Linked DNA regions of Arabidopsis thaliana. The protein of the gene in region 2 interacts with the protein of the main gene of each other region in a biochemical or structural test. Each region holds a gene or a part of one and is shown on either strand. Other genes may lie near its edges. The genes, in order: MPB2C, STM, ATH1 and RPL.

Region 1 (6,817 bases), on a different chromosome or scaffold from region 2:
ATGATTTAATAAATTTATGTTATTGTTTGATTTAAATGTATAATTCACCGCGAGACGAAATTTTATAACTCAAATTTTAAAGTTTTAAATTATATTTGTTTATTTTGTTAAATGTTTAATATTGTATAATTGTATATTGATTGTTGTTTCTCAGATTTCACCCGTAGTACACCATCCCATATTAATATCGAATCAAACCCGTCAATTCTAGGATTTCACCCGTGGTAGTATTTAATTGTATAATTATATTTTAATTGTCATCGTAGGATTTCACTCCTAATTCTATCGCAAATTATTATCAACCCAAACCAGTCAATTCTAAAATATCACCCGTAGTACACCATCCCATATTAATATCGAATCAAACCCGTCAATTCTAGGATTTCACCCGTGGTAGTATTTAATTGTATAATTATATTTTAATTGTCATTATCAGATTTCACTCCTAATTCTATCGTAAATTATTATCAACCCAAACCAATCAATTCTAAAATATCACCCGTAGTACACCATCCCATATTAATATCGATTCAAACTCGTCAATTATAGGATTTCACTCGTGGTAGTATTTAATTGTATAATTATATTTTGATTGTCATTCTAGGATTTAACTCCTAGTTCTATTGTAAATTCTTATCAACCCAAACAGTCAATTATAAAATTTCACCCGTAGTATAAAGTTTAAATATTTATAATGTTTAAATTTCTTATAAAAGAATCAAAATGTGTTTTAAAAAAATTAAAGTTTTAAGTTTTTTTTTTTTAATATTGTTAATTTTGTTTAGTGTTTAAGATTATATAATTATATTATGATTGTTATTATATGTTTTTTTCCATAGCATACTATCCCATGTTATTATCCACTCAAACCCGTCACACCATATAACCTCGTCCCGTGAAATTAAACACAAATTTGTCATTTTATTATAAATTTCAAATATTTATAAAATTAGAAACTTCAAAAAAGATTAATATTGACCCAAACTTCATCATTGAATTTTGAGTGTTATATCTAAGATTTCTCTCGCAGTATATCGTCCCGTATTAATATTTTTTATATTGTTTAAATTTCTTGTAATATTTAATTTATAATTTTTTAAACTTTTTAAAGTTTCAATTTTTTAAAATAAATAACCCTAGTAAACAAACCATTTTAATTTTGGACACCTCATAAATCAAGTTTCATGCTCATTCGTAATCGAAATCATTTTGGTCCTTTTTATAGTATGGCTCTTGACCATTGTCCAATTTTTTTAAGCGATATGGGACATTCTAAAATCGTAATTATTATCCACCCAAACCCGTCCTACCATATAACCCAGTCCCGTGAAATTAAACATAATTTTGTCATTTTCTTATAAATTTCAATATTATAAAATTTGAAACTTAAAAAAAATACAATATCGACCCAAAATTCATCATTGAATTTTGATTGTTATATTTAAGATTTTTCCTGTAATATATCGTCTCGTATTAATATATTTTTTATATATTTATAATGTTTAAATTTCTTGTAAAATTCAATTTATAATTTTTAAAACTTTATAAGTTTTAAAATTATAAATATTTAAAGCATTTTTTAAAGATATACTTTATAAAAAGTTTTTAAAATTATAATATTTAACTTTTGATAAAGTTATAATATTTATAATTTCTTGAAACATTTTAAAGTTTCAATTCTTTAAAATAAAAAATGCGAGTAAAATCGGATAACTATTTTAATTTTGGACGCCTGATAAATCAAGGTTCCTGCTCATTCGTAATCAGAATTATTTTGGTCCTTTTATAATATGGGTCTGAACCATTGTCCAATTTTTCTAAGCGATGTGGGACATTGTACACATATTATTTCTTCATAGGTTGAATAATATATGTCCGTTTTAAAAAATTTGAATTACATCATATTCAGAAAAAAATATAATATTTTATTAACTATATATATTTTATATAAATTCAAAATAAATAAAGTATAAGATCAAATAAAATTGAAAGAAGAATTATATATTTATGTTTAAATTAGGTAGAAATATTTTAGGAAATTAGTTAAGGTAAATAAGAAATATGGTTAGTTTAGAGATATTATTTATATTAAATTTGGTAATTAAATCATTAATTTTCGTTTTTAATTATTAGTTTTTAGATAACTTTTCCAAAAATTAATGTTATCCAGATCAGAACAGAATTAAACATGTTATCCAGGATCCGAACAGAGTTAAACCGGGTAAAATTCACCCATTTGAATTAATTGTTGAATTATGGCTCAAATCTTCAACATTATCTTCAAAAATCCCCTCCAAAAATGTATATATAGATATATAGATTCATGAAGTTCGTGAACCGGTTTTCTCGAATCGGGAACCAAAACGGCTCAAGACCGGACAAGATTGAAAGACACGACCCAATAACGTTTTCGATCAGAATAACCCGTATTGGAAAAGCATATAATTGAAAAATTGTAAAATGGAAAATCTCAATTTCCAAATTTTAAACAAAGCATAATGTTAAATTTAAGGGATCATAGAAGAAGGAAAGAAATTCAAAAAGCAAGGGCAAGTCAAGAGAATAGTGAAAAACATGAGGGTAAAATGGTAATTATAAGTTGGATAGTTTCAGATGAACGTTGGAGATTGAGATCCAAAGCTCAGACTCGGAACGAAGAATGAAACGAATTTTTTTAAAGAAAATAAAAATCAAGTCTTTCTCTTCGTCTATCTCTCTCTCTGCTCAGACTCTCTGGTGTTGAAGACTAATCACTGAAGCAGATCTATTATACGGAGGACGAAGAAGATGTATGAGCAGCAGCAACATTTCATGGATTTGCAAAGCGATTCTGGGTTTGGGGACGATAGCTCCTGGCTCGCCGGCGATGACGATCTTCGTCTCTCTCCTCACCAATCTGCCGCCGGTACGAACTCCGGCAATGAGAATCTAGATCGTCGTCTCTTAAAAGATCTCGTCGAGATGGTTCCCCTTATCGAGCATTACATGGTAAATCCTTTCTAACTCTCTTGGCCGTTTTTGTCGAGTTATCAGAGCTCAATAATGTTTGGGTTTCGAGGGGATTGCAGATTCTGGGATAGATTCGACGGAATTGGTTTCTTAATTTTGAGAAATTTGCAGCAATTTTGAAACTTTTTTGACAGATTGATTTGGACATTAAAATTTGAAATTTCTGAAAGATAAAGACTGTAGATTTCATATTTAGCTCGAAATTTATTGACTCTCTTCTCTCACTGAAACGATATATAGGAACATAAAGAAAGGAGTTCGTTTAAGCGGCGTGGTTCCATGATCTACACTAAGATGCCTTCAAAAGAATCCTTGTCCCGAAGGGTAAGATGTCAATCTTCTTGTCTTCTTCATCTCTTTATGGCAATTTTAACATTATTCATACACTGTAGCTTGGTTGCATAGGTATCAATAAGTTTCGACTTGGTTAACACTGGTAGTTTGCTAACTTGCTTAGATAATGGCTTGAGTTTGTGATCTTTTCCTTTTGGGGTATGAGCTGATATCAGCTTGGCGTTATGGCTTAATCAAAAATTGTATATTTAGAAGGGATTATAGATGTTTTTCAATTATTATATGCAGTAAATGTTGTTGTTGTAATGATGGAATCTGTTTCTGGAGTACTGGTGTCTTCATAACTTGGTTTAAAAACTTCAGTGGGTGGTTCGGGGGATTTGATTTCCCTCGCCAAATGTTTGCATCATTTCTCAAATGAATCTGTTTCTCTAATGCTCGGCTGTATAACTTTATTCACTTGTATTTGCATGTATTTGATCCAAAGGGAAGAAATGCTTCTCAAACAGTCCCAGGAAGAAAGAAGAGAGACCAAGAGGGAAATGACGATGTTATGAACAATTCTAGGGAAGATGATGAAAACGCAAAGGCTTTGGCTGGTGCAGAAAAGGAAGAAATGAGTAGACTAAGAGAGCAAGTGAATGACTTGCAGACAAAATTATCGGAGAAAGAAGAGGTTTTAAAGTCAATGGAGATGTCAAAGAATCAGGTAAACGAGATACAAGAAAAGCTTGAAGCAACAAATCGATTGGTTGCTGAGAAGGATATGTTGATCAAGTCTATGCAGTTACAATTATCGGACACAAAGGTAAACCTTTTTCCTCTTATGTGTCTCCAGATTTCTCCTTTGTGTTTACTTTGAATCTGGTTTTAAACAAAATGGAGAATATTCAGTTTGCTTCTACACGTACCTCACATTTTAATTGCTTCCTTTCACTGTCTTCACTAGATCAAACTTGCTGACAAGCAAGCAGCCCTTGAGAAGACTCAATGGGAAGCAAAGACAACAGGAACAAGAGCAATCAAGCTTCAAGAACAGCTAGATGCTGTTGAAGGAGACATCTCTACATTCACACGGGTGTTCGAAACTTTGGCAAAAACTGATTCCAAGAAACCCGATAGGGATTATGATGCAGTCCCATATGAATTTGATCATCTTCCATATTTAGTAAGCCAAAGAAACCACAATCCTCATCTCTCCTTTTTCCTTTTTTTTTTTTTTGGTTAATATCTAAAAACTTGTTGCAAAATGCGTTAAAAACAGGACGATGTAGATGAAACTGACCTGAGGAAAATGGAAGAAGCAAGATTAGCTTATGTAGCAGCAGTGAATACCGCAAAGGAACGAGAAGATGAAGAATCTCTGGTCATGGCTGCTCAAGCTCGAGCTTACCTGCAATCACTAGCCTTTACATATTAATCATCTTCAGGTACTTACTTCTTTATAGGATATTTCTCTCCTTGGGTTGTTTTAGGAGTATGTAGATTTGTACCATGAAGAAATTGGAGAAGAAAAGCTTATGTGAGAAACATAAAGTTATGGTTTTCCCCTAAACCAATGAACGCAACTCTGAGTTTTTGTTTCTTCATTTGAGCATGTATGTATCTATATGATCTTCTACATTATTGGGAACATAAAATCAGATTGTATAATGCATCTGTTCAATAGTTTACTTTAGATATACTCTTAACAAGGAAATCTATCAACTTTGGAATCTAAAGCAGCCATACTTGTTCAACTTGAAATCGTGGAATGATGAATTTGGGCTTAATTAGTTAACAAAATATAGTTTGGGCTCACATTGAATTCCTTTTAATAAGGTAAGGTCTTTTTAGTGATAATCTTAATCTAATAATAGTTCACACGGGTGGGAAAAAATACAAAATAATAATAATATTTCACACGTGCCGAATTCGGCTGTGTCAAAAATTCCGCGCCATTAGCCCATCGATACGAAGTCGAGTTCAAAGCCCAACAAAGTTTTAAAACTATATATACATTAAAAAGTTCTTTCTTTGTTAATGGAAGGAAAAAGTAAAATCCGGTAATGGAGAACGAGAGACGCAGCGGCGGAGGAGACAGTGTTCCGATCTCTGTCCGAAGCATTAACGGCGAATCGACGACCGTTCAGGTTTCCTCTGACGGGACAATTCGTGACCTAAAGAAAGCCCTAAAATCCTGTTTCCCTCCCGCTTCCTCTTCTTCCAATTTCCATCTGTATATCAAGGTAATGCTTATTATTCTACTACACTCGTTCGCGATTGCTTTCAAGTTTCGTTTTCTAAATCAGCTCTTCAAGGATAAAATTAGAATTTCTCTCTTTTTGTAGGGTGAGAAATTGAAATTGGACACTAGAGTGGCTGCGATTACTATTAATGACGGTGATATCTTGGGTTTATTTCCGTTTAAGAAGAAGGAACTTCGACAGACTCCAAAACCTGATTTATCAAAACCTTCCTCCTTGAGTTCAAGAACCTCAACTATGAAAGATGAAAACGCTAAAAGAGCTGAGGATCATTGTGTTGGTGAGAAACGAAAACGGGATGAAGAAGCGTGTCCATATGGATTCTTTAATGATGATTTGGAGTCTGAGTGTAAAGATGCATTCAAGGGTCAGAACACAGAGAAGCTTGCTGAGGTTTTAAAGTCCAGGAATTGCTTGACATCTCCAGGTTCTACAAAATGCTTGATGTCATGGGATTCAAGTAGCTCTTTGTGTTCTTGTCCTGATTGGGTGAAATTGTCTATGGAGACATTCGCGTTTTTGAATATTTTTTCATATGTTCTTCAATCACATGGAGAAAAGTTATATTTAACCCGCTTGAAGGAATCTCTTTCCCGGTTAGCTATGTCTGGAGTTCGTGTTCGTATACAAGACGTTAAGAATCTCTCTGTTATATGCCCCAAGGTGATTTTTTTTCCCCTATATCTTTTAAGTATACCTACTTATTCTGTGACAAGAAGTTTTTATATGTAACCGCCAATGGTTGTTTGTAGGTAGTAAAGGTTATCACTGATGACTATGAGGCTGTGAACTATGAGAACGCTATAGTTATAGCTGACTATCTGGAGATGGATGAAAAATCAGGTCGTAAAAAAATTCCTCTTGCAAAGCTCTTTAGTGCCATGAAAAAACGGGAGGCTTCCTTTAAGTCTGATTTCTGGGAGTCCATCAGATCGCTACTGAACAAAAATACAGGTGAGAGTGGAATAGCTATTTCCTTGGAGGGCTTGCTTAAATTTGCCAGTGAAGGAAGAGCTGATGGTGGAAACGAAGCTAGACAGGCTGGGAAAGGCACTTGTCCTACCTCTGGTTCTCGTAAATTCCAGACTTTGTGTCATGCCACAAATTCACTGCTACCATCGGAGATGGTTGAACATCTCAGGAATGGTATTGGATCTAAAGGACAGGTAGTTCACGTTGAAGTTATCAAGGCCAGAAAATCTGCCTACGTCGAAATGTCAGATAAGCTCTCGGAAACCACCAAGTCTGCCTTGAAACGAATTGGTCTC
Region 2 (7,774 bases):
ATATATATATAAGTTTTGCAAGTGCATCACTTCCCAAAATCGCATAAATCATTAATCATATTGTCGAAAACAGTATAATAACTTCTTAAACGAAAACGCAGCGCAATTAAAAATAACAACTAGAGATAATTGACAAAACATTGATTAATATTTACCTATAAGTTAATTATTGTATTTAAAATTTATTTAAAGTTCATAAGGAAAACATATGCAAAAATATTTATATCTAATATTTTGCTATGTTATCCTTTTTTTTTTTTACGTTATCCTAATTTTGTTTATCCTAATTTGTTGTGGTTAAAATCTTATTATTGATAAAAAGAGAACTTTTTTTTTTGTCATCATAAAAAAGAGAACTTATTACTTCGATTTTAAAATTCTATGAGCGTAGGAGACAAAGAAAAAAAAAATAAAAAAAAAAAGAAGAGAAAAATCACTTCTTTTCTTCTTTTTAGTCCAGATCCAACATATTTTGGATAACTAAATGAAGATTTTTTAAAAAAATATATTTTAGGGTATATATAAATCATAATTTGAAGCAAATGAAATAAAATCCAGTTTGGTAATATATAAATATGATTTGATGGGTTCCTTGTAATCTCTCTCTATCTATTAGTTTCTCAGTTATCTTTTCTTTGCCAGAAATGGCAGTGAAGGCAGTGGCTGAGGAGAGAGTTTTTTTTCTTCTTTCATGGGGAAAGTAAAACTTTGCCTTGAAGATTTCTCTCTTCAATATTTTTCTAAGACTTTTGATTTCAACGAATCACTGTCCTTAACCTAAAAGCAAGAAAAATTAGCTTTATACTGGTCTTTACTTTTTTTTAACATATTTATTTTTATATAGTTTACTTATAAACATAGACATACGAGTATGGGAATATATAGTATATCCAACTTCTAAATAATATTTCGAATAGTGATAACAAAATTAGCAATACATACGGCTAGTGAAATGTTGATCGAATAAACGGCACTGATGTAATGTACTTATCAATTTTGATAATTTTAATTGTATTGTTTTTCTTTTTTTCCCACAGTATTGAACTAGACAATTAAATTTAAAGTAAAATTATACATTTCTTTCGTTGTGTATTAAAGTAACATGCATAATATCATTTTCCTTCGTACAATCCTCCAAATTGACAATTGATGAATTACTTTGTCAATCGTAAATGAATTTTTCTCAAGTCTGTATACTATTTTCAGGGATAAACAGGTACAGGTGTCCCATGCTTATTCTCTTGATAGTAACATGTGTCCTATGTTGAGTCAATTCTACGTTCGAAGAAGTGCTAACAATTGTTAATAGCCTCGTATATTATTCTAATTAAAATGCCTCGATAGATTTGGTTAGTGGTCTGAATGTGATTGGTTATTTTTTCAAGTGGCAAGAGGTCTACCATCTAATATTACAATCAATCGACCAAAAAGGTCGAGAACATGATAATGGTGGCAAATACAAATGGTTCATTGTTGTCTAATATAACAAGCCATCAGTTGTCACTTTTTAAAAACAATACAGAATACAAGATACTTTTTTTTTAAGGTAAAATGTGTGTTTAATATTTTCGTTTATATAACAAATAAACAGTTACATGTTTTACTCTATGATTATATTTATGACATTTTTCTTCTTCTTAACAACATTTTTTTCCCATAAGAACATTTACAATAGTATTAAAACTTTGATTGCAATCAAATGTTAGATCACTTATTATAAAATTACTAAGACTGCTATCTTTTCCTATTGACAAAAGCGAATCCAATATATGTTACTGAAACAAATGCGTAAATTATACTATATGGAGATCTATCGGTTAATTATTGAGAGAATCTAAGAAAGTTTTTGAGTACAACAGTCCTAATAATATCTTCACATACCATATAATATACATATATACATATACACAAATGTACTTTTTAAACCAACATCAGCATACGTATATCCCATCAGGAAACTTAGACTTTTGGGAATTCATGGTATGAAAACCAAAACCAAATGACAACATTCGATTTGATACTCCCGACCCATGGTAAAGAAATAACAAATTCCAATATATCTTTCACTGGACTTTCCGAGGCACATTCCGGTTTTCTCCATTTCAAGAAATTGTCAAAAATAAATTGAGATCCGGTTTATTACCTCAAAAAAGAAGAAGAGAAATTACAACATTAATTTCCGAAAAGGCATAAATGAGAAATCATATTTCAGCAGAAGAACACAAAAGAGTTAAGAACCCACAGATCACACAACCTCTGTCCATGTCTGCTTTTTACACTTTTTTAAAATAAGTTTCTCCTAAAAAGTTATTTCCTATTTATAATAATTTCCTTAGATTTATCTTCCTGGTCTCTCTTCTGCTGCTTCCCTCTCCCCCATAACTATCACTATTTAGAATTTTCAATGTGGAAAAGGAAGCTGATTGTTGAAGCATAAATCCCGGGAGACCACTTTTGCATTTTCAAATAATTAAATTAAACCATAGATACACACACACAGTTACTTACTCTTTTAGGGTTTCCCAATAAATTTATAGTACTTTAATGTGTTTCATGATATTGATGATAAATGCTAGCTGTATTTACAATGGGGGCTCCTCTTTTTTTTTCTTTATGTTATTTTCATTTTTTATTTCTCATAGCTATATAGCAAAGCCAAAGTGAATAATAATACTAGTGAGAGAAAGAGAAGATGGAGAGTGGTTCCAACAGCACTTCTTGTCCAATGGCTTTTGCCGGGGATAATAGTGATGGTCCGATGTGTCCTATGATGATGATGATGCCGCCCATCATGACATCACATCAACATCATGGTCATGATCATCAACATCAACAACAAGAACATGATGGTTATGCATATCAGTCACACCACCAACAAAGTAGTTCCCTTTTTCTTCAATCACTAGCTCCTCCCCAAGGAACTAAGAACAAAGTTGCTTCTTCTTCTTCTCCTTCCTCTTGTGCTCCTGCCTATTCTCTAATGGAGATCCATCATAACGAAATCGTTGCAGGAGGAATCAACCCTTGCTCCTCTTCCTCTTCTTCAGCCTCTGTCAAGGCCAAGATCATGGCTCATCCTCACTACCACCGCCTCTTGGCCGCTTATGTCAATTGTCAGAAGGTGATGAGAGAAAGAAACTTGAAAAAATTACTTTGAAAGTTTCTTCGTAACTCTAATGATTCTTATTTGATTTTCTTGCACAAAAAAGAAGAGAAAGATTCTAGAAACCCTAATTACCAAACTTTACCTTTTATTTCCTTTTTACATAACCCTTTACTTGATGTCTGAGTTTGATTTTGATATCTACTTTTGTTTACTAGTTACTTAACCCAGCTAAGTATATACAAATCAAAGGATACAATTTTTCCTATATTGAGAAAGTTTCAAGAAACAATTTGTAAAAACCCTACTTGCAAGAGATTATCCAAAATATTGTATGTAGGCTTGAAGATTAGGACATATATAATTATTTCATTTTTTTCTTTACTATATTATATATCCACAATAAACGTGAGGATCCTTATCTTAGTTCAATTAACGTTTTTATGTCTATCATTTACTAATTACACAATTTCTTAAGGTTGGAGCACCACCGGAGGTTGTGGCGAGGCTAGAGGAGGCATGCTCGTCTGCCGCAGCCGCTGCCGCATCTATGGGACCAACAGGATGTCTAGGTGAAGATCCAGGGCTTGATCAATTCATGGAAGCTTACTGTGAAATGCTCGTTAAGTATGAGCAAGAGCTCTCCAAACCTTTCAAGGAAGCTATGGTCTTCCTTCAACGTGTCGAGTGTCAATTCAAATCCCTCTCTCTATCCTCACCTTCCTCTTTCTCCGGTTACTCTCTCCTCTCTCTCTAGTTCTCTGTTTTTTTTTCTTTCTTTTTAATTCATATTCTTGTTAATTATGGCGTCAAATTAAACGTAAGATGAGGAAAGTTGTTTTTTTTCTTTGTGGGTTTTAAGAAAGATTTTCCTTTTTCTGATTTTTCTTGGGTAAATACCCCTTTGATGGTTGTTACTAGGGTTAGTGTCAGATTGTTATATATAGCTTACTAGGTTTACGTGTATAATCTATCTATACATAAGTTAGTGTATGTAGTTGTTTTCATTGAATTAAAACAGTTTGTTTACTGTTTTTTTGTTTTGTTTGGAATTGAATTCATTTGCTTTGGTACAACAACAATCACTGTTCTTGTCTCTTTCTTCTCCGTTTGTTTTGGATCTATTTAATTCAAATGCATCAAAAAGAATATCTGGATCTAGAGTCTGCTCGTCCTTAGATCTATTGCTCAATTTAGACATACACATGTTTTTGTACGTATAATCACATATACATATATCTACACAATGTCATATCACTCTTCTTTTCAAGAATGTAGTTAAGTTTATATAGACACACAAACTCACATCTACTTAACATGTTACTTTGAATTATTTGGATCACTAGCCTATTCTTTTTCATTTCCCTAGACACATGTTCTTGTTGACAAATTTGTCTTGCTTTCACATGTTTAATCAATATAAGGTTATGGAGAGACAGCAATTGATAGGAACAATAATGGGTCATCCGAGGAAGAAGTCGATATGAACAATGAATTTGTAGATCCACAAGCTGAGGATAGAGAGCTTAAAGGACAGCTCTTGCGCAAGTACAGTGGTTACTTAGGGAGCCTCAAGCAAGAGTTCATGAAGAAGAGGAAGAAAGGAAAGCTCCCTAAAGAAGCTCGTCAACAACTGCTTGATTGGTGGAGCCGTCACTACAAATGGCCTTACCCTTCGGTAACTCTCTTCCCTTATACTCTAATTAAATAATCATTTCATGTTTTTAAAAAAGCATTTATATGATAGCAAATTCAATTTAGTTGTCTATTAGCTTGTTTCAATGTTTTTAGTGATTTTTGCATTCATACTATATCGTTAGGGACATTAGTTTATGTTAGCTCATGTTGGCATTGCACAATATGCATTTGCATAATTTGAAATCCTAAAAGCTGAATGAAGTGAACTTATTTAGTCTATGTGTACTGTTTTGGTCTATTAGCCGATGACAAACTTGATTCTTGCTTCCATACCTTTTTTAGGGTCCGAATAATATGTCAATCTTAGTCAAGACTACGATCAATTTCATCTTATGGCTGTGTACCATAACTTAGACTAAACTTTGTTGCACATATTTCAAGTCATAACTTTGGAAAGTAGGGTGCATGAGGCCATACCCTAATGCAATAGTAGCTCATGTCTTTATTACACTTGTATAGTGTCATTACCCATGTTCGTATGAGTAGATGGATTCTAAGTTCTCCTTACAATCTAGCAAATCGTGATGTAGCTGTGATCATGGACTGACCTTATATCGGAGAGAACACTTGATGATTGATTTTTTCTCGCATGTGATATGAAATTGCAGGAGCAACAAAAGCTCGCCCTTGCGGAATCAACGGGGCTGGACCAGAAACAGATAAACAATTGGTTCATAAACCAGAGGAAACGGCATTGGAAGCCGTCGGAGGACATGCAGTTTGTAGTAATGGACGCAACACATCCTCACCATTACTTCATGGATAATGTCTTGGGCAATCCTTTCCCAATGGATCACATCTCCTCCACCATGCTTTGATCGATCCTTTAAAACGTTTATTTCATTATATTTATAATCGTTAAACAGCTTATAATATGTATAATCTATGGTTCTCGGTATACTTGGAACATATGAAACATGTTCCGATTGATGAACAAGCGTTTGATGTTGTGGTGTGTATCCTTTTGTGTTGTTCTATTGTTATGCGAAATTCCTATTCCTATTATAATGATAGTAAAGCTTTTTTGATCTATTCTTTTTATTTGACAACCTTTTTGACAATTTGGACCATTTTTTGGTTGTATGTATATCTTCCTTGCTAATTTTTAAGTATTTGCGTCGAAATTTTGTACTTTTGGGATGGAAAAGACGAAAAGAAAAGAGAGAATGCTATTACTCCAAAAGACCTAGTCTGGCCCAAACAGACCCATCACTATCCCAAAAAGACAAGATCGACCAAAACTTAATCCACTTCTAATAGTTTTGTCCCTTAAAACGCTTTCTGCTGTATGTATCTTCACAAACATATGACTTATCTTGAACCGATTCAATACAGCAGCATTTAGCATTGCTGAGAGTGATCTTTACACATATATACGCTTATAAGCTTCTCAAATTCTTCTTCATATGCTCCTCATCATCTTCAGTTTTCAATAGCCATAATTTGTTCCTACCAAAGACGAATAGTTCCAGTTTCTGCATAGCCACAATCTTCCATTTGTTTTCCCACTTGATCTAACCTGAAACTGGGACATGGTTCCTGAAGTTAGTGGATGTGCAGAACAAGAGAAACTATGGATCGAAGATACATCGGGTCAGCCTCGAGGATAATATCATCACTGACATTTTGAGCACTAACTAAACAGTCCAAACCAAGCATTGATTCAAGACATACCTCTCTATTCAAGATCGCTATCTGTTCTTGCTTCTTCATCACTATCTTCACATATATCCTCAGGAGGATCGTATACAATCATTCCAGGGAAAAGCTCCAAGAAATCATCTTTAACTTTCTCTCTCAACTCAGGATAAGGAACGAGTCCTTTCAAAATAACTCGAAAAGGCAGAGATAAAGGCCGGTCAGGAGACTCTCTCATCTCTCCATACAATCTCATTGCTTCTAAAGGAAGTTCATTATCCAAGAACCCTCGAACAAGGTCTCCAAATGTATGTTGATCAAACAAAACCTCTTCTTTCTTTAAATCTTCCCATACTTTCTTGGTTTCATCAACTTTCTTGTTTCTTGCAAGCATCATTAGCATGTCTCTGTAAAAAAACATGTCCGGTCTGTACCATATTTCTCTCCTCACTACTTCATAGAGCTGAAACATAATAAGAAGACAAACACTAAACCAAATTAAACATCAACGACAAGTGACAATACATAAACATCAACAAGCTCCATATAAACCAAACCGAAATAGTTTAACCAAACCAGTTAGGCTAATTCGATTCTGATTCAGTTTATTAGGTATCAAGCGGCAAGAGGAAGTATGAAATTCAGTAACTGGTTTGGTTCGGCATTGCCAAACCGAAATTACCAAAATTTTATCCTAAATATAACCGAATTCACAGAAATATACCAAAATTTAACCGAAGCATAAACATTAACAGTAACACCATCAACAAACTCCATAACCAAACTTAGAACTAGGCTTATAAAATCAAACCGAAATAGCTGAACCAAACCAGTTAGGCTAATTCGGTTCGGATTCGGTTTATTAGGTGAAGCCAAGCGGCAAGAGGAAGCATGAAAACCGGTTCAGGACTGGTAAACCCAAATTTTATCCTTACTTTAACCAGAATCACCGAAATGTACCAAATCTTAACCAAAATGATGAGAAATGTCAAATTATCAATAACGAACCAAACCACATTTGGTTTTCGGTTCCATTTCAGCACCAATTTCCAAATCGAAACACCCAAATTTACGAACCGGAGGAGACCAATTAACCTAAACGCCCAGAACTATCAAAAACTCAGTTCGAAACTTAACCAAATTCAACGATTATACCTTCATACAGAGGAACACTTGGTTTTGTCTCTGAAATTCAGCAAGAACGGAAACGAGATCGGATTTAAGGAGACGAGAGACATGAGAACCAATGAATCGATCAAGTCGGACTGATTGGGTTTGGAGACGCTTGAGCTCTTTGGCTGCGATTAAACCTTCTTTGCTCATTTCTTTCTTCCG
Region 3 (7,951 bases), on a different chromosome or scaffold from region 2:
TGAAGATTAAAGGCAACATATATTACTAAACGCATAAAAGAAATATCAAGAAAACAATAGCATCAAGGTAGGAAAATTTCAACATGTGAGAAGTAAAGAAGAGACAAATAGAGGATATACTTGTTAAGTTCACTTAAGGTTTGTACACAATTATAATCACCATCTTCATCCTCAGAGCACCAAATCTGTTAATAGAAACACAAGCATTGCAGTTAAATGCTTATGCATAGATATGACACCAATTCATGAAAGCACATTTGAAGCATTGTTCTCTTAACCTTGATAGTGTTATCATAACTGCAAGAGAACAAAACATCCATGGTGGGATGCCACAAGACCATCTTAACATCTTCTGAATGACCAGTTAACACTGCAATAGTATCAAATTCATCGTCCTCCTCTGGTTGTATTTCCCAAATCCAGACAGACTTGTCTCTACCACAAGTTGCAAGCAACGAACCAGATGCATTCCATGATACACTTTTGACTTCGCTTTCATGTCCCTAAGAAAATTCCACGAGATTTTAAAAAGTCAAGAAACCCAGAGGGACATCAAAGCCCTACAATAAATTTCAGTTGTCAACAAACACATAAAGGATAGGCCTTTGAGATAGTACATTTAGTACCCGTAAAACAGAGACAGACTCGGAGTCAGTAGCAAAATTTTCCCAAACGCAAGTATTGCCATCGAAACTTCCCAGACGGTGACCAAGCTAACGACTTCACACTTCTTGTGTGCGCGCCTTCCAAAACAGCCTGACCAATCACGAGGCTTCATGTTCATTAGTGACACATTATCTAACAACATCAAATTCGAAAGAAAGAGAGAAGAGAGACCTTGCAGGTCCAGGAACGAGTAAGAGAACTCTGCTCCCAGATTCGTACGGTCTTATCGGCACTGCAGGAAGCAATAACACCGTCAGCGGCGGGATTCCAGGCGACGTTCCAAACACGATCAGTGTGACCTTCAAGTTTCTGAACCTCCTCTAACCCTAAATTCTTATCCATCACTTTCATCTCCTTCTGGATCAGCAGAGAAGCCTATAAGTTCCACGAAAATCAAATTTTGCTATATATATAATATCGGCCCGTCGAGGTAAATAACAAAAGTTAAAGCATATGGTTAAGATTAATTTCCAATAAATTTTAGAAAGTCTAAACAACCTCTCAAGGTATTTTAAGAAGATACTTTTTCCAATAAAATAAAATCTATGGAAAATATTTGGAAGATATGGAAATATTGAGCTGTAAATTCTCATTTATCTGATTTGTAAATTTTCTTTCCAATTTTCTAAAAGTAAAAATTTACTTTAATTTTTTTTTGGGAAAAACCACACCTTTTAATGTATTGGAATAAGGTGAATGGTTTGGGCTCTCTCAAGGGATGTCTTTCTTGCATTGCATCATCTTCTATTCTTCTTCTATCTGCATTGCATCAATGAATCCACTAAAGTTTGGTTCCTGGATGGGTGGTGATAGAGATGGAAATCCAAATGTCACGGTAAAGGTGATAATGAGGGCTTGCTTTCTACATTACTTTTTTAGGGTTAGAATTTTGCTGGTCACTCAACTTGCTAACACACTTTGCTGGTCATTAAGAGTGAGTCCTTGATTTCTATGTAAAGATTAACTTGCTAACACACTTGGTTTTATCAATAAATTTCTTGTTCACAGAAGGAGTATTGCATATGTTTAGGTGGATGGCTATCGATCTTTACGTAAGAGCGATTGACATCTTAAAATTATACGCCGCTCTGAGAATGAATGTGTGTTTTCTGACCCTCAAGTGCTTCAGACACTGAGAATGAATGTGTGTTTTCTGATCCTCAAGTGCTCGACTTCTATATTAATTCGAAAGGAGTTAAGATCAAGTAGATTGTTGAACCTCAGTGAACTAGTTAATGCCCTCTGTGATCATTTATTCCCATTTTGCTTAGTCTGCCTATATATAATTCTAAGTCAATGAACTTGTATAATATTCTAAGCAAGACATCAGTAGCATATAGTATAAGTTGATACACAATAATTAAGCCAAATGACTTGGGAAATTATACGACTTCAGATAAAAAGCGCTCTAGTCTATGGAGTAGATTAAGCATCTGCTGGTGCTGGAGTCGATAGGCTCCATAGCCAACGTACATTTTGTTTCATTTTAGAAAAAGCATTACAAGTTCTTGTTTGGACTATCAGACAACAAAAAAAAGTAACTTTTATAATTCGCCTAGGACCCAAAAGTTATGAGCACGGGTCTAATAGTCTAACATTAATAAGTGTTATTGATTAAGATCGTAGGCATGATTAAAGATGCATTCCAGCTTCAGTTAATAGTCGGTACTATAGTTCCTAGTGTTATTGATACTATTCTGCTTTACTAAATCAAAATTTCAAACTATTAAATAATATAGACTTGTAAGCAAACAATAATAAGGATATGATATCAATAATTATCGATTTCTATTGAAAATAATTTTGTCCTATACGAACAACAATAACTGTTTCACCAAATCAATATCCAATTTTGCTTGGAGTGGCCATGCAAGATACTTGTCCTTGACCCTTTTCTTTGTCTCATACCAGCTTAGAAAGTCATTGTTTAGGCAAGTACCATTAACATTATTTAAAATACAGATCAAGTCACGCTAATACAGATCAAATCAAGTACCATTAGATTTTCTTCTTCTTTTGGTTGTAATAAAGAAGAGCATAATTTCAGATGTTGCAATCTATATAGTCTACGAGTAATAGAGTTCAATTCCATCATCATTAGCCATGATAATAAAGACGTAACACATAACGACACATTGAACTTAAAATAAATAAATAAATAAATAAAAATGATAAGAAAGGAACAATCAAAGAAAAGGCCAAGCAAATTGATTGATATTTTTGTAAAGCTTACGTAAAAAACTTATATGAAAAAAATACGTAAATGGATATAAGATTTGATGGCACAATACAAAGACACGAGTGGTGAGAAAAGAAAGAAGAAAAAGCAAGAACCCAAATGGATCACACATCTCATCAATTCTCCTTAAATGGCTAAAAAAGATCTCACCCTTCTTTACTTTTTTCCCTCTTTCTGATTTGTGATAATTGAAACCAGCACAAGAAGACAACACCATTTTCTTATAACTTTATAAAATTTTATAAATAGAGACACATACATATATATATATATAGAGACATGTAAATAGTAAAATGTAGGGTCTCTTCCCTAATTTAAAGCCTGCAACAGAAATGAGTGCACTTCTCTGTAGTAAACAGTAACACATCGGTCTTCTTCATGTCTTTGGATTTCTTTTTTGGATTTCGATTCTGTTTCAACCATATATTTTCTTTAGATAATTTTACTAGATTCATCTCTTTCTCTATGAACAACATTTTAAATAAATGACATTTTAAGAAAGTGATTATATATAAGATTTTCTTGATTCTGATTTATCTTTTTTTTTGGTCGGAAGATCTTAAAGATATGAAAATGGATTCGTGTCATAAACAGAGGCAGCTCCGTACGTGATTTGGCCCTCCTTCTTTTCAACTTCTTCTTTCTTGAATATTAAAGTTGTATTTTTCCCCTCGATAATACAACTTTTGGTTTGTTTATTTAGTTATAAAATGTTGCTATTTGTTGATCTAGTGCTCTGAATCTTTTAGTGAGGCAGATGATGAAGATTATGAATTTCTTCATGAAATTATTGTAAGAAAAAGTAAGTAATTTTTTTTGTAAGTGTTTGCGTTCATGCAAAAGAGATTAATCAGACCCACTTTTCTCTTTTTCAGTTTTGTTGCATTATTTTGTTCTCTTTAATTTATGAATACTAACTTTATTGTTGATTTCTGCTTTTTGGTTCTCTTTAGGAACATAGAGAAGCTGCGGAATGAAAGTACACTGTTCTTTCACGGAGAAAGAAGATAAATAAGCATTATCTTCTTCTTCAGTTTTTAACACACATTTTGGAAATTTTGATGTAAAAATTCTCTTTGGAACGTTGTGTTGTCTGAAATCTTCCCAAAGGTTCTATCAGAAGAAGAAGGATAAAGGCAAGTTTCAACATTTTTAATGTTCTATGGACATTTGTAGTAATCTAAAGCTTTCTTTTTTACTTATTAGTTCACTGTTTATCACAGATAGCTTTGAGATATTATTGGTCTGTGTATCATTGAGCCTAGTTACGGCTTCATTAACTCATGTTTCGGTTCTTTATATATTTTAATGAAATATTTAATGACATAGTGAGCGATGTTCTCTGTCTCTTGCAGCATTTTACATTTAGTACTATTCTCCAAAGATTTGGTTTCTTAGATTTTCTGAAATCTTTTGTCTAAGTCTTAAATACTTGTCTTCTTTGGTAATGCAGTTTCATAGAAACCCAATGGACAACAACAACAACAACAACACTTTTAGTTCTCTGGATAATGTCATGACTAACCAAAATCCTCTTCTCATGGATTTTATACCTTCAAGAGAAGATTCAACTTCATTCTCAACAATGCTTCCATGGAATACCATCAGATCAGATCCTCTACAAATGGGTGGCTTTGATATTTTCAATTCTATGCTGACTAACAAATACTTATCATCTTCTCCACGGTCTATCGATGTTCAAGATAACCGCAATGTTGAGTTCATGGCTCCTCCTCCTCATCCTCCTCCACTTCATCCTTTGGATCATTTAAGACACTATGATGATTCCTCAAACAACATGTGGGGTTTTGAAGCAAATAGTGAGTTTCAGGCATTTTCAGGTGTAGTTGGTCCAAGTGAACCAATGATGTCTACATTCGGTGAAGAAGATTTCCCGTTTCTAATTTCGAATAAAAGAAACAATGAGCTTTCATTGAGTCTTGCATCAGATGTTTCTGATGAATGCTCGGAGATAAGTCTTTGTGCAGCTACAAGATTAGCCTCAGAGCAAGCTTCTTGCAGCAGCAAAGACATTTCTAATAACGTTGTTACTCAAGGTTTCTCTCAACTTATATTTGGCTCAAAATACCTTCACTCTGTTCAAGAAATACTATCTCATTTCGCCGCATACTCGCTCGATTATTCATCTCGAGGAACCGAGTCAGGAGCTGCTAGTTCAGCCTTTACTTCACGTTTTGAGAATATAACTGAGTTTCTTGATGGTGATTCTAATAACTCGGAGGCGGGTTTCGGATCTACATTTCAAAGGAGAGCATTAGAAGCAAAGAAAACCCATCTCTTGGATCTTCTTCAAATGGTATGTAATATATTCATTCACTTTTTTTGCATAAGTTAAAAAAATGGTTTGATATATATGATGAAGTTTTATGAGTTGATATTTCTCTTCAGGTGGATGATCGATATAGTCATTGCGTAGATGAGATTCATACGGTTATATCAGCGTTCCATGCTGCAACCGAGTTAGATCCACAGTTACACACCCGGTTTGCCCTCCAAACCGTTTCCTTCTTATACAAGAACCTGAGAGAGAGAATCTGCAAGAAGATAATCTCTATGGGATCTGTATTGGAGAGAGGCAAAGACAAGACTCAAGAAACCTCTATGTTCCACCAGCATTGCCTTCTTCAGCAGCTGAAACGAAAGAACCATCAGATTTGGAGACCTCAACGAGGTTTGCCTGAGAAATCTGTTTCGGTTCTACGGAATTGGATGTTCCAAAACTTCCTTCACCCGTAACAATCCTTACTCTTCTTAACTATCTACTTTATGATGATGACATTGTTAACTCGATTTTATAAGCAAAGTTATGTTTTATTTAATGCAGTTACCCGAAAGATTCGGAGAAACATCTTCTAGCTATACGAAGTGGCTTGACAAGAAGTCAGGTAATGTCTCATGTTTGTTTTCTTATGCAATGACTCATTGATAACAAGCTTTGTTTTCTTATGCAATGACTCATTGATAAGATCTTTGTTTTCTTATGCAATGACTTATTGATAACATCTTTGCTCACAATGATAGCAAATATGGTATTCAAATGAGTAATATATATCTTGACATACTAGTCATGTCTGAAAAACCGGTATTGGTTATTTTAAGATGAGATTAGGGCTAGGAAAAAATCAAGCTTTTCTCTTGAACTACAAATGAGACTAGATTATGTATTCTTGAATTCACAATAATGTTACTCAAGTCCTAGGATTGTAGTCGCACATATGTTTTGTTACTGAAGTAAGTTAAAGCGGGCAAATGATATAGAGTGTGTCTCTTTGTTGTGTGTGATTAAAGGTATCAAACTGGTTTATAAATGCGCGGGTTAGGCTATGGAAGCCGATGATAGAAGAGATGTATGCGGAAATGAACAAGAGGAAGCTCAATAACAGTCACATTCAACCCAACGGACCAACTCTTCGAATGCCAAAATCTGTTATGATGAGCCAAGCAATGCATAAATAAGACAACAATTGTGTTTACCAACTTTGTGATAATTAGGCAATTGCTACTCTATGATTGCCCAAAACCTAAACCATGTACGACTATCATTACGTATGTTATAATTGTATATACAACTCCTTTATCTTTGACTATTTCATTTTATTATCCTGTATTCTTATATCATAATTATCATCATCCTCATTAAACTTCATGATCACCATTTTTACGTAAAAATAAAATTAAGTTCATGAAAATATATAAAAAGTATGTAACCACTGAAGATTTATTTTCATATTTATTCAAACAAACTACAAAATACAAACCTAAAGTTTTATTTCACCGTTTGCATTTAACTTTTTTTCTCTTACAAGTGAGTTTTATTATTCCAAAAACTGAAATGAATAATGACGAAAATCTCCTAGCAAGCGACGTCGTATTTTGGTTTGACTTGAGAATCTTCGGTCAACTAATAAAAACGCAGCGTTTTCATCTGGTACGGACACAATTAGAAATAGAAAGTAGGAAAAGGAAGACACTTTGCTAAAACTGAGGAAGAAAGTGTAAAGACGGAGCCTTTTACGGCGAATGGAGGAAGACAGAGCCACCATGACCGGAGCTGTAGCCACTCGAGACTCGGTGGAACCCAGCGAAGACATACTCATATGCGTCGATGTTGATGCGGAATCGACGGTGGAGATGAAGACCACTGGAACTAACGGTAAGCCTTTGAACAGGCTCGAGTGCCTCAAGCTAGCCATTACTCGCTTTATCCACGACAAGCTCTCCAGAAATTCCGATCATCGCTTTGCTTTCGCTACCCTCTCCCAGTCAGCCGCTTGGGTAAGACTTACTTTCTCCCCCAGCTCTCTTTATGTTAGGTTGCTTTTGCTTTTGAGTATGCATGCTCCTTAGATGTCAAATTTTGAATTCGTGATGTTCATTGGACTATGGTAGCTTATAAATGTGTTGAGAGAGTCATATTTGATGTATTGCATAAGCTTCACTAGTGTGACTGTTAAAGTTGAGGTCTTTTATGTTTCAGCTTAAAAAGGAATTCTCCAACGATGCTAAATCTGCTGCTGCTTCTTTAAGAGAAATGTCAGCTACTAGATCCTCTGGTCCAGCGGATCTCACATTTCTGTTCCAGGAAGCGGCTCAGGAAGCCAAAACTTCCAGAGCACAAAATCGAATTTTGAGAGTGGTAAGTTTTGTTTTGTGCAAATACTATCTCTTCTAGCCACAGCGTGATAAAAGAATCTGTTTTACAGATTTCGTTTATATTTTGCTCTTCAGATTCTCATGTACTGCAGGTCATCCGTGAGACCAACCCATGATTGGCCTATAAACCAGAAGCTCTTCACATTGGATGTTATGTACCTGCACGACAAGTCGGGTCCTGATAATTGTACTCACGATGTGTATGACTCTCTTGTTGATGCTATAGAGCGTGTTTCGGAGTATGAAGGTTACATCTTTGAGGGCAGTCATGGGCTTTCACAGTCTGTTTTCAGGCGTATGTCAACGTTGTTATCACATCCTCCTCAAAGATGTGCTCAAGTTGATCTCCCCAAGCCTCCTGCAAAGAAGGTG
Region 4 (8,128 bases), on a different chromosome or scaffold from region 2:
TTGAGAACTTGGGGGCATATTATGAATATCCCACAACAAATAAATAAGGGATGGTTTCTTATCTTCAACATCATTTTAATCCTCACCTCTAACTCAATATACATACACTCGCCTTTGGATGAAAAAGCAACATCACATGACAAAATCTTTCTACAACCCTTATCACTGCAAAATCTCGATCAGCCAGACAATTCTCACCACTTGGGTTTCAAGCCTTACACATCCATGTTGTTTTAATAAAATTCCAAACCATCCCCATTATTTTTGTAACTAGGGCTCCCCCATGAAGTTATTTTTGTGCAATATACTAACATTTAAGAAAAAAAACCTAGAAAATTGAAATGATACAATTATTATGAATTTACTAAAATTAGAGTCGCAAATCTAAGCGCGCATTACATCTATAGAGGCAGATAATGAAAAATATATGTAATTTTTTTTTGGGTTATATACTATTTTATGTTCAGCCAAGAAGGTGAAAAAGGAGCGATTGCTTAAAAATGTTTTCGTGTGGTTACCCGTGATGCAATGTAAAAAGAAAAAAGAAAAAAAAAAGAAGAGAAGAGAAGAACTAATAATTACGTGCACTTTAATTTACTGTAATACTTTATTGGAGTGCCTTGGTTCTTTTTCAATTTTTGTGGTCCATCTTAGCCAAAAGAGGAAATACTTTTATATAATATAAAATATTGTAACGCAAAGTATTGCTTAGTATTCGAAACACATTTTTTCAAATGATTTACGTCCCATTATTTCCCATGCAAACGGAAATATCCTCTAATGATTATTTCAAACACGATTATTACAGTACAGTCGAAATTACTTTCCCGGTTTAATCATATTCTGGCATATCTTATAACATATTTTTTGCAAAGGTATTCGCTTTTGTTTTTGTGACAAATTATTTATTAGGTTTTTAAATTATTACAAATAACTCTCACAGACGTATGTAATCCAACACATAAAATATATGGTTGATAAGAATTCACATCAATTTTGATTAATTTAGGGACTATAAATATGTTATATACAATAATTAATCTATGCATCTTTTTTAATCATTGTGATTGTTCTAGTTATAATAAAATATGGTTGATCACAATTCACAACAATTTTGATTAATTTATGGACTATAAATTTGTTAACATAATTAATCTAGGCATCTTTTTAAATCTTTGTGATTTCTCTAATTATATAATATGAACTGCAGAATTTGATTGTTCTCAATGTATAATCTTACGGGTCATACCATACCATCCATGCTTTGAGTTAGGGATGTCAAAATAGGTCAAAATTCATGGGTCAACTCAACTCAACTCAACCCATGAACCCTAATGAGTTGAAAATTTTGACTCAAATGAGTTGATGAGTCAAATGGGTTAATGAGTCAATTGGTTTGATGAGTAAAATGAGTTGGGTTGTAATGGTTAATGGTTTCAATGGTTTACCCAATTAACCCATCAAATTTTATAAAATTGAATTAAACCAACTAAAATCTCTAAACCAATGCCAATTTAAGTTTAACCAACACATCTAAACAAATTTAATAAAATTAATATTTTTCCAAATTTCTTAAATATACAAGCGATGAAATTGAGAAAAAATAAATTCGTAATTTTTCCACCAAAAAACATAAACCCGTGATTTTCTCGCCAAAAACGTAAACCCGTGATTTTCCCGCCAAAAACGTAAACCCTTAATTTTCCCGCCAAAAACGTAAACCCGTAATTTTCCCACCAAAAACGTAAACCCGTGATTTTCCCGCCAAAAATGTAAACCCGTGATTTTCCCGCCAAAAACGTAAACCCGTGATTTTCCCGCCAAAAACGTAAACCCGAGATTTTCCCGCCAAAAACGTAAATCCGTTATTTTTTCGCCCAAAACGTAAACCCATGATTTTTCCGTCAAAAACGTAAATCCGTGATTTTCCCGCCAAAAACGTAAATCCGAGATTTTTTCGCCGAAAAGCTTAAACCCGAAATTTTCCAGCCAAAAACGTAAACCCATCATTTTCCGGCCAAAAACGTAAAAAACTATAATTTTCCTGTCAAAACGTAAATCCGTGATTTTCCGTACCTAAAACGTAAACCTGTAAAAAATAAAATCCGTAAATATCTTAAGTTTGATGATAATGAATTAATAATGATAATTATTTATTATTGTTTTATAATAATAATTAATTAAATTATTACTTAAATGGGTTAACATCTCAAACCATTAAATTAAATGAGTTATAGGTTGACCCAACACATTTAACAAAATGAGTTGGGTCAACCCATAACTCATTTATTCTTAAACTCATTTGATTATAAGTTGAGTAGAGTTGGGTTATCCATTTTGATATCCCTACTTTTAGTACTATAGCTACAAGCCTACAACTATGGAGATTAGTGTGAATGTATGATTGTCGAATAAAAATAGAGTGACTAAATATTTTAAGCGTAAAAAGGTATTTATTCCAGCAAAAGAAAAGAAGAAAAACGACAAAAAGAAGACTTAAAAGTTGTAGAAATGTCAGTACGTATGTGAAAGACTGAGACACAGAACACTTTGTACAAGAACCAGTTCCAGTGTCACCGGTTACAGCCGGTCGCCTTCTCTTGATTCCCCAAAGCCTCTCCCACCAAACCCGGGACTTTTCACTTTTCATCAGTATTTTTTTTTGTTAAAGATTTTCATCAGTATTTTATATATATATATATATTATAAAGATCGAATTTGTTTGCATGATGAGGAAAGTATATCGAGTTACTATGTATCCATCGTTTGAAATACCCGTTTTAAAAAAAAATAATGAGATTTATTTTTAGGACTTCAGTATATATACGATTAACTTTTAACAGTTGTGTGACTAAAACGAAATGTAACAAAAATAAGAGAAAACTACAAAACAGGTAGTGAAAAATGACAAAAAAATTGTAGGACGCTAAGACGAAAAAATGATTCAAGAAAGAATATGTCTTTTCAATTTCAGTTTTACGAAATCGTGTAATAACGTAAATACTAAATCACGATTTCACAGAACCATATAAAATACTAAAATCCCACGCAATCATTAAACTTAATTCACCATTCTACGGATGACCTATGAGAGAGCATTGAATTGGCTTTAGTAACAAACACCAAAAAGATGAATCTTGACCAAATTTGTAATGCTCATACTAAATTCCTCCAAGTCTTATAAACATTAGATATTTTATATTTTAGGTTTTCAAAATATGTCATATAAAGAAAAATTTGATATACATATTGATCGTGCTTCAAAAAGACACCAAAAGAGCTTCTCTCTCTCTTAACCTCTCGTTTCGCCATTATCTCTTACACTGTTACTCTCTCTCTCTCTTCTTCTTCTTCTTCTTCTTCTGCATCTCATCGACATCATCCTTTCCCATGGCTGATGCATACGAGCCTTATCATGTTCTTCAACAAAGCCGGCGAGACAAACTTCGTATTCCATCTCTCGATTCCCACTTCCACTTTCACCCTCCTCCTCCTCCTTCCTCCGGCGGCGGAGGTGGCGTCTTTCCTCTCGCTGATTCCGATTTCCTCGCAGCCGGTGGCTTTCACTCCAACAACAACAACAACCACATATCTAACCCTAGCTACAGTAATTTCATGGGATTTCTCGGTGGCCCTTCTTCTTCTTCATCCACCGCAGTCGCCGTCGCCGGAGATCATTCCTTTAACGCCGGACTTTCTTCCGGAGACGTTCTTGTCTTCAAACCCGAGCCTCTATCTCTATCTTTGTCCTCTCACCCTAGACTCGCTTACGATCTAGTCGTTCCCGGTGTTGTTAACTCCGGATTCTGTAGATCTGCCGGTGAAGCCAACGCCGCCGCCGTCACCATCGCGTCTAGAAGCTCTGGTCCTCTCGGACCTTTCACGGGCTACGCGTCGATTCTTAAAGGATCAAGGTTCTTGAAACCAGCACAGATGCTTCTTGATGAGTTTTGTAATGTGGGTCGTGGGATTTACACCGACAAAGTCATCGACGACGATGATTCTTCTCTGCTTTTTGATCCGACGGTTGAGAATCTCTGCGGTGTTTCTGATGGCGGCGGAGGAGATAATGGAAAGAAAAAATCAAAACTCATCTCCATGCTCGACGAGGTATACAATAACATGATCAATTCTAATCTCTTTAAATTATTGAAATCTGTAAATTTTCTTTAATTATTGTCTATACTTTCTTACAAGTATGTGAATTATTGTGTTAAATGTTCACAGTTTTTGGTCGGTGTCCTTTGGAATTGGAGACAAAATGTGTTAAATGATATGTCTCTTAAAAAGATCTTCCTTGGAAAATGAAACTCCTTCAAAGCCATTTTAAAATTATATGATATTTTATTTAATTCATTATAATACCATATGTTAATTAAATTAATGTTCCCTACGTTTTGCATGAATAGATGATGTTATAGCGTCCATTTTAATACATTATATAAATTACAAGCTTGCCATCTTCATGCTGATTTTTAATAGAATTTTAAGGTTATACTAAAGTAAGGATAATATTATCTTGAGGAAGTAACTTTATATAGAGCTTCCTTAGCTCTTGATCTGAATTTGTGAATTAGATTCTTCAAATCTTAGGGGTATAAACATTAAGTGATAAAAAGAGAACGTCTTCTTTATGAAAGGAATATATGCATTATATGATCTTAAAGCTAGGGACTTAAAGATTTTAATTAGTTTATTCCGAGGTATATAACATACTTTTTGAGTGAGGAAATAATGTATAAATTTATAATCACCCATTTTATTATGTAAGTGGGGGAATCTAAAAACATTTCCATGTGACGTTTTGAAGGTTTACAAGAGGTATAAGCAATACTATGAGCAGCTACAAGCTGTGATGGGATCATTCGAATGCGTTGCAGGTCTCGGGCACGCTGCTCCGTACGCTAACTTAGCCTTGAAAGCATTGTCTAAGCATTTCAAGTGTTTGAAGAATGCTATAACGGACCAGCTTCAATTCAGCCACAACAACAAGATCCAACAACAACAACAATGTGGTCATCCGATGAACTCTGAGAATAAGACTGATTCTTTAAGATTTGGAGGAAGTGATAGTTCTAGAGGCTTATGTTCTGCTGGTCAAAGACATGGATTTCCTGATCATCATGCTCCTGTTTGGAGACCGCACCGTGGCCTACCCGAACGTGCTGTTACTGTTCTAAGGGCTTGGCTCTTCGATCATTTCTTGCATCCGTAAGTAACCCTTCTCGCCATATAAATGCTTTTGAAAGTTGTTGGATTCGAGTTTGAACTTGGTTCCAACAATTGATTAAACTAAATGCAAACGTTTAATTGATCATGAACCAAATTGTATATATATGCTTGTGAACAATAGCTTTATATGTGTGTGTCAGTGTGAATAAATATGTGTGTATCGAAGTGTATTTTTACTTGGAAGTATGTTTTAGATGGGACATGTCGACTGCTTGTTTGTTTCCCAAACTTGGAGATGTCGTGTTGCAAGCGTAATTATGTGTCTATATATATGTGTATGTTAGTATATACAATGATATATTAAATTGTTGTTGTCTGTGTCTTTTGTTGCAGTTATCCAACAGATACAGACAAACTCATGCTGGCTAAGCAGACAGGTCTCTCCAGAAATCAGGTTTCACTTCTGATATCTTCAGTCTTCTTCTTTTTTCTCTTTCCATCTTTTCTTGTTCACAATTTAACAAATTTCTTGCTAATTAAGCATGCACATAGTCACATAGATAAATATATGCTTTTATGAAATGAGTTTCTGTTGTCGGACAATAATTATATGTTTTAAATCTTTTCACATATATCATTAGTATAGTAACTATGTTATAATTTGGTTTATTAGGTTTGAATAAGTGTTACACTTTTGTTTTTGAAAATTTATCCGTTGGTGATAATGAATAATTTAGGGATTTTCTATCGCTTGAGGGTTATTAATTTATTATGGTAAAATGTTATTTTAGGTATCGAATTGGTTCATAAACGCAAGAGTTAGGGTTTGGAAGCCGATGGTGGAAGAGATTCACATGCTGGAGACTCGACAATCTCAGAGATCTTCTTCTTCCTCTTGGAGAGACGAACGTACTAGCACCACCGTCTTCCCTGACAACAGCAACAACAACCCATCTTCGTCCTCGGCACAGCAAAGACCTAACAACTCATCTCCGCCTAGACGGGCACGAAACGACGACGTTCATGGCACAAACAACAACAACAGCTATGTAAACAGTGGGAGCGGCGGCGGTAGTGCGGTTGGTTTCTCGTATGGAATTGGGTCGTCGAATGTGCCGGTGATGAATAGCAGCACAAACGGAGGAGTGTCTTTGACGTTAGGGCTTCATCATCAGATTGGGTTACCGGAGCCTTTTCCGATGACAACTGCTCAGAGGTTTGGGCTTGATGGTGGTAGTGGCGATGGTGGTGGTGGGTATGAAGGGCAAAATCGTCAGTTTGGGAGAGATTTTATTGGTGGTAGTAATCATCAGTTTCTACATGATTTTGTAGGTTGAGATTATTTGTGTGGAAAGGAAAAAATATGTTTGACGTTTGGGTATGTATAAGAAGATATGGGGGAATTGAAATGCATATGATGTGTATATTAGAATGTTTCTTCTTCTTTTTTTGTTGTTTGCTTACTTTCACAAATGTTATCTTTTTAAGAAATGAAATTGGATTCAATAACCAATGTTAAAAACATGGGTTAGACTTTAGAGTTGTCTATGTCTTGGTGAAATATAAAAGGCATCTATCATTGTTTTAATATTTTGGCATGATTCAAAACATGGTGCTTTTTTTTTTTTTATGTATGTCACAATTATCGTTGAAGAACGCGATTAAGATGTTTATCATTGATCGTTGATATTATATTTTGAACTATCTTGTTTTACTTGATAGTAAACATTGACTAAACAACATGTTTTCAAACCCTAAACCTTGAAATATTTCAGACTATTTGAGTTATCTTTTTGAGTCGGATGCAGTTTTGACTCCGATCCGCTCAACATTGTTGAATTCTTCTACTCATAAAAGAAGTTTGAGCCGATTTCAAACACACAAAACAAATGAGTTCGGTTTAATGTTCAGTGTGTACTAATACGTTGGCTTTTGAAGATCACATGAGAGCAAAAGTATTGAAAATAAAATTGTGCTTTTGTTGCTTCAAATAACTTTCCATTTGCTTTTGGAAAACAAGAAAGATATATATATATATATATATATATATATATACATAACCTTTCCCTCTCATGGGAAAAAAGTAAATCTTTTTCTTTGTAGAATTTATTCTCCGATCCTAACCATTTCTCAGCCTTTTTGTTTGTTTACACCATTTTTGTTTATATTCTTGGATTATGTCTATATAGAATAAGATGTAAACATAAACTGTATTAGCAAATATGTTTTGAATTATATGAAATTCAATAATTGAGAAGAGGTTCATGTAATGAGCCGAGAGAAGAATATAAAAGCAGTCAAATAATTTTTTCAAAAAACTATTTGTATATTAAAAAGGTACAAAGTAAAAAATAAATTTAAGAAGGTGCCATCATTGGCTCCTAAAGAACAAACTACAAAGAATCAATTTCTCATGATTTGATCTCTCACAATCCGTCTCCTTTATGTGGATGCGGAAAAACACTCTCCACACGTTTCATGTAAAAATTTTAGTTAAATTTCTAAAAACAATAGAGATACTATTCGATTTGTTCTTGAATTATTCATGAATACATATAGTGGCAACCTTAGACACTAGCCACGTCAACCGTACATGTTATATCATATATTTTTATATTGGTCTATCTATATGCTGAACTAGAGTCTAGAGATAAATATGAGAACATATAAGAAACCATGGACAACTAAAGATATTGTCTTTCTGTGTGAGTATTTGTTCCAGAAGCATTAAACCTTCGGAATAAGTATAATTCTTTTGCACCATTACTATTTTTATAAGCTTCACCAGCTCTATATATATTCTCACCATTAACATAAAACAACAACAACACGAAGAAGAAGATGAAGGTACTTGATGATGAACGGGTAATCTGCATCCTGAGGTTTAAAACCAATTAAGCATATACATATGCGAATGTATAGTTTTTAATCCTCGGGATACAGTTTACCTCTTCCT

What was found.
Region 1: the proteins of STM (region 2) and MPB2C form a complex in vitro, tested with the Arabidopsis thaliana proteins (one study listed by BioGRID).
Region 3: the proteins of STM (region 2) and ATH1 form a complex in vitro, tested with the Arabidopsis thaliana proteins (one study listed by BioGRID).
Region 4: the proteins of STM (region 2) and RPL form a complex in vitro, tested with the Arabidopsis thaliana proteins (one study listed by BioGRID).

The regions. Positions count from the first base shown.
Region 1 is NC_003076.8:2,598,649-2,605,465, reverse strand, and holds MPB2C (movement protein binding protein 2C), read left to right. Parts: upstream 1-2,530; 5' UTR 2,531-2,787; coding exon 2,788-2,988; intron 2,989-3,249; coding exon 3,250-3,333; intron 3,334-3,790; coding exon 3,791-4,111; intron 4,112-4,252; coding exon 4,253-4,471; coding exon of another isoform or gene 4,472-4,531; exon of another isoform or gene 4,532-4,567; coding exon 4,568-4,723; 3' UTR 4,724-5,023; downstream 5,024-6,817. Other genes in the region: AT5G08110 (UBQ, helicase-c and DEAD-like helicase domain-containing protein), read left to right, coding at 5,352-5,531, 5,634-6,212, 6,302-6,817. UniProt on the Arabidopsis thaliana protein: Prevents homeodomain proteins (e.g. STM) association to plasmodesmata and, consequently, cell-to-cell transport. Binds to RNA. Alters STM RNA binding capacity. Regulates cytoskeleton (e.g. actin) organization that determinates cell shape.
Region 2 is NC_003070.9:23,056,641-23,064,414, reverse strand, and holds STM (KNOX/ELK homeobox transcription factor), read left to right. Parts: upstream 1-2,351; 5' UTR 2,352-2,692; coding exon 2,693-3,121; intron 3,122-3,581; coding exon 3,582-3,837; intron 3,838-4,527; coding exon 4,528-4,781; intron 4,782-5,409; coding exon 5,410-5,619; 3' UTR 5,620-5,833; downstream 5,834-7,774. Other genes in the region: AT1G62350 (Pentatricopeptide repeat (PPR) superfamily protein), read right to left, coding at 6,480-6,902, 7,595-7,774. UniProt on the Arabidopsis thaliana protein: Required for shoot apical meristem (SAM) formation during embryogenesis. Negatively regulates ASYMMETRIC LEAVES1 (AS1) and ASYMMETRIC LEAVES2 (AS2 or LBD6). Probably binds to the DNA sequence 5'-TGAC-3'. Binds to RNA.
Region 3 is NC_003075.7:15,913,296-15,921,246, reverse strand, and holds ATH1 (homeobox protein ATH1), read left to right. Parts: upstream 1-3,093; 5' UTR 3,094-3,707; exon of another isoform or gene 3,708-3,858; 5' UTR 3,859-4,041; intron 4,042-4,358; 5' UTR 4,359-4,373; coding exon 4,374-5,222; intron 5,223-5,314; coding exon 5,315-5,658; intron 5,659-5,750; coding exon 5,751-5,811; intron 5,812-6,214; coding exon 6,215-6,382; 3' UTR 6,383-6,577; downstream 6,578-7,951. Other genes in the region: AT4G32990 (Transducin/WD40 repeat-like superfamily protein), read right to left, coding at 121-185, 279-503, 627-713, 838-1,017; AT4G32970 (BRISC/BRCA1-A complex protein), read left to right, coding at 6,947-7,201, 7,404-7,562, 7,655-7,948. UniProt on the Arabidopsis thaliana protein: Transcription factor which may be involved in the signal transduction pathway downstream of the COP1 gene. Controls floral competency as a specific activator of FLC expression. Is responsive of the nuclear import of SHOOT MERISTEMLESS (STM).
Region 4 is NC_003076.8:392,364-400,491, forward strand, and holds RPL (POX (plant homeobox) family protein), read left to right. Parts: upstream 1-3,203; 5' UTR 3,204-3,390; coding exon 3,391-4,110; intron 4,111-4,810; coding exon 4,811-5,211; intron 5,212-5,565; coding exon 5,566-5,626; intron 5,627-5,963; coding exon 5,964-6,509; 3' UTR 6,510-6,762; downstream 6,763-8,128.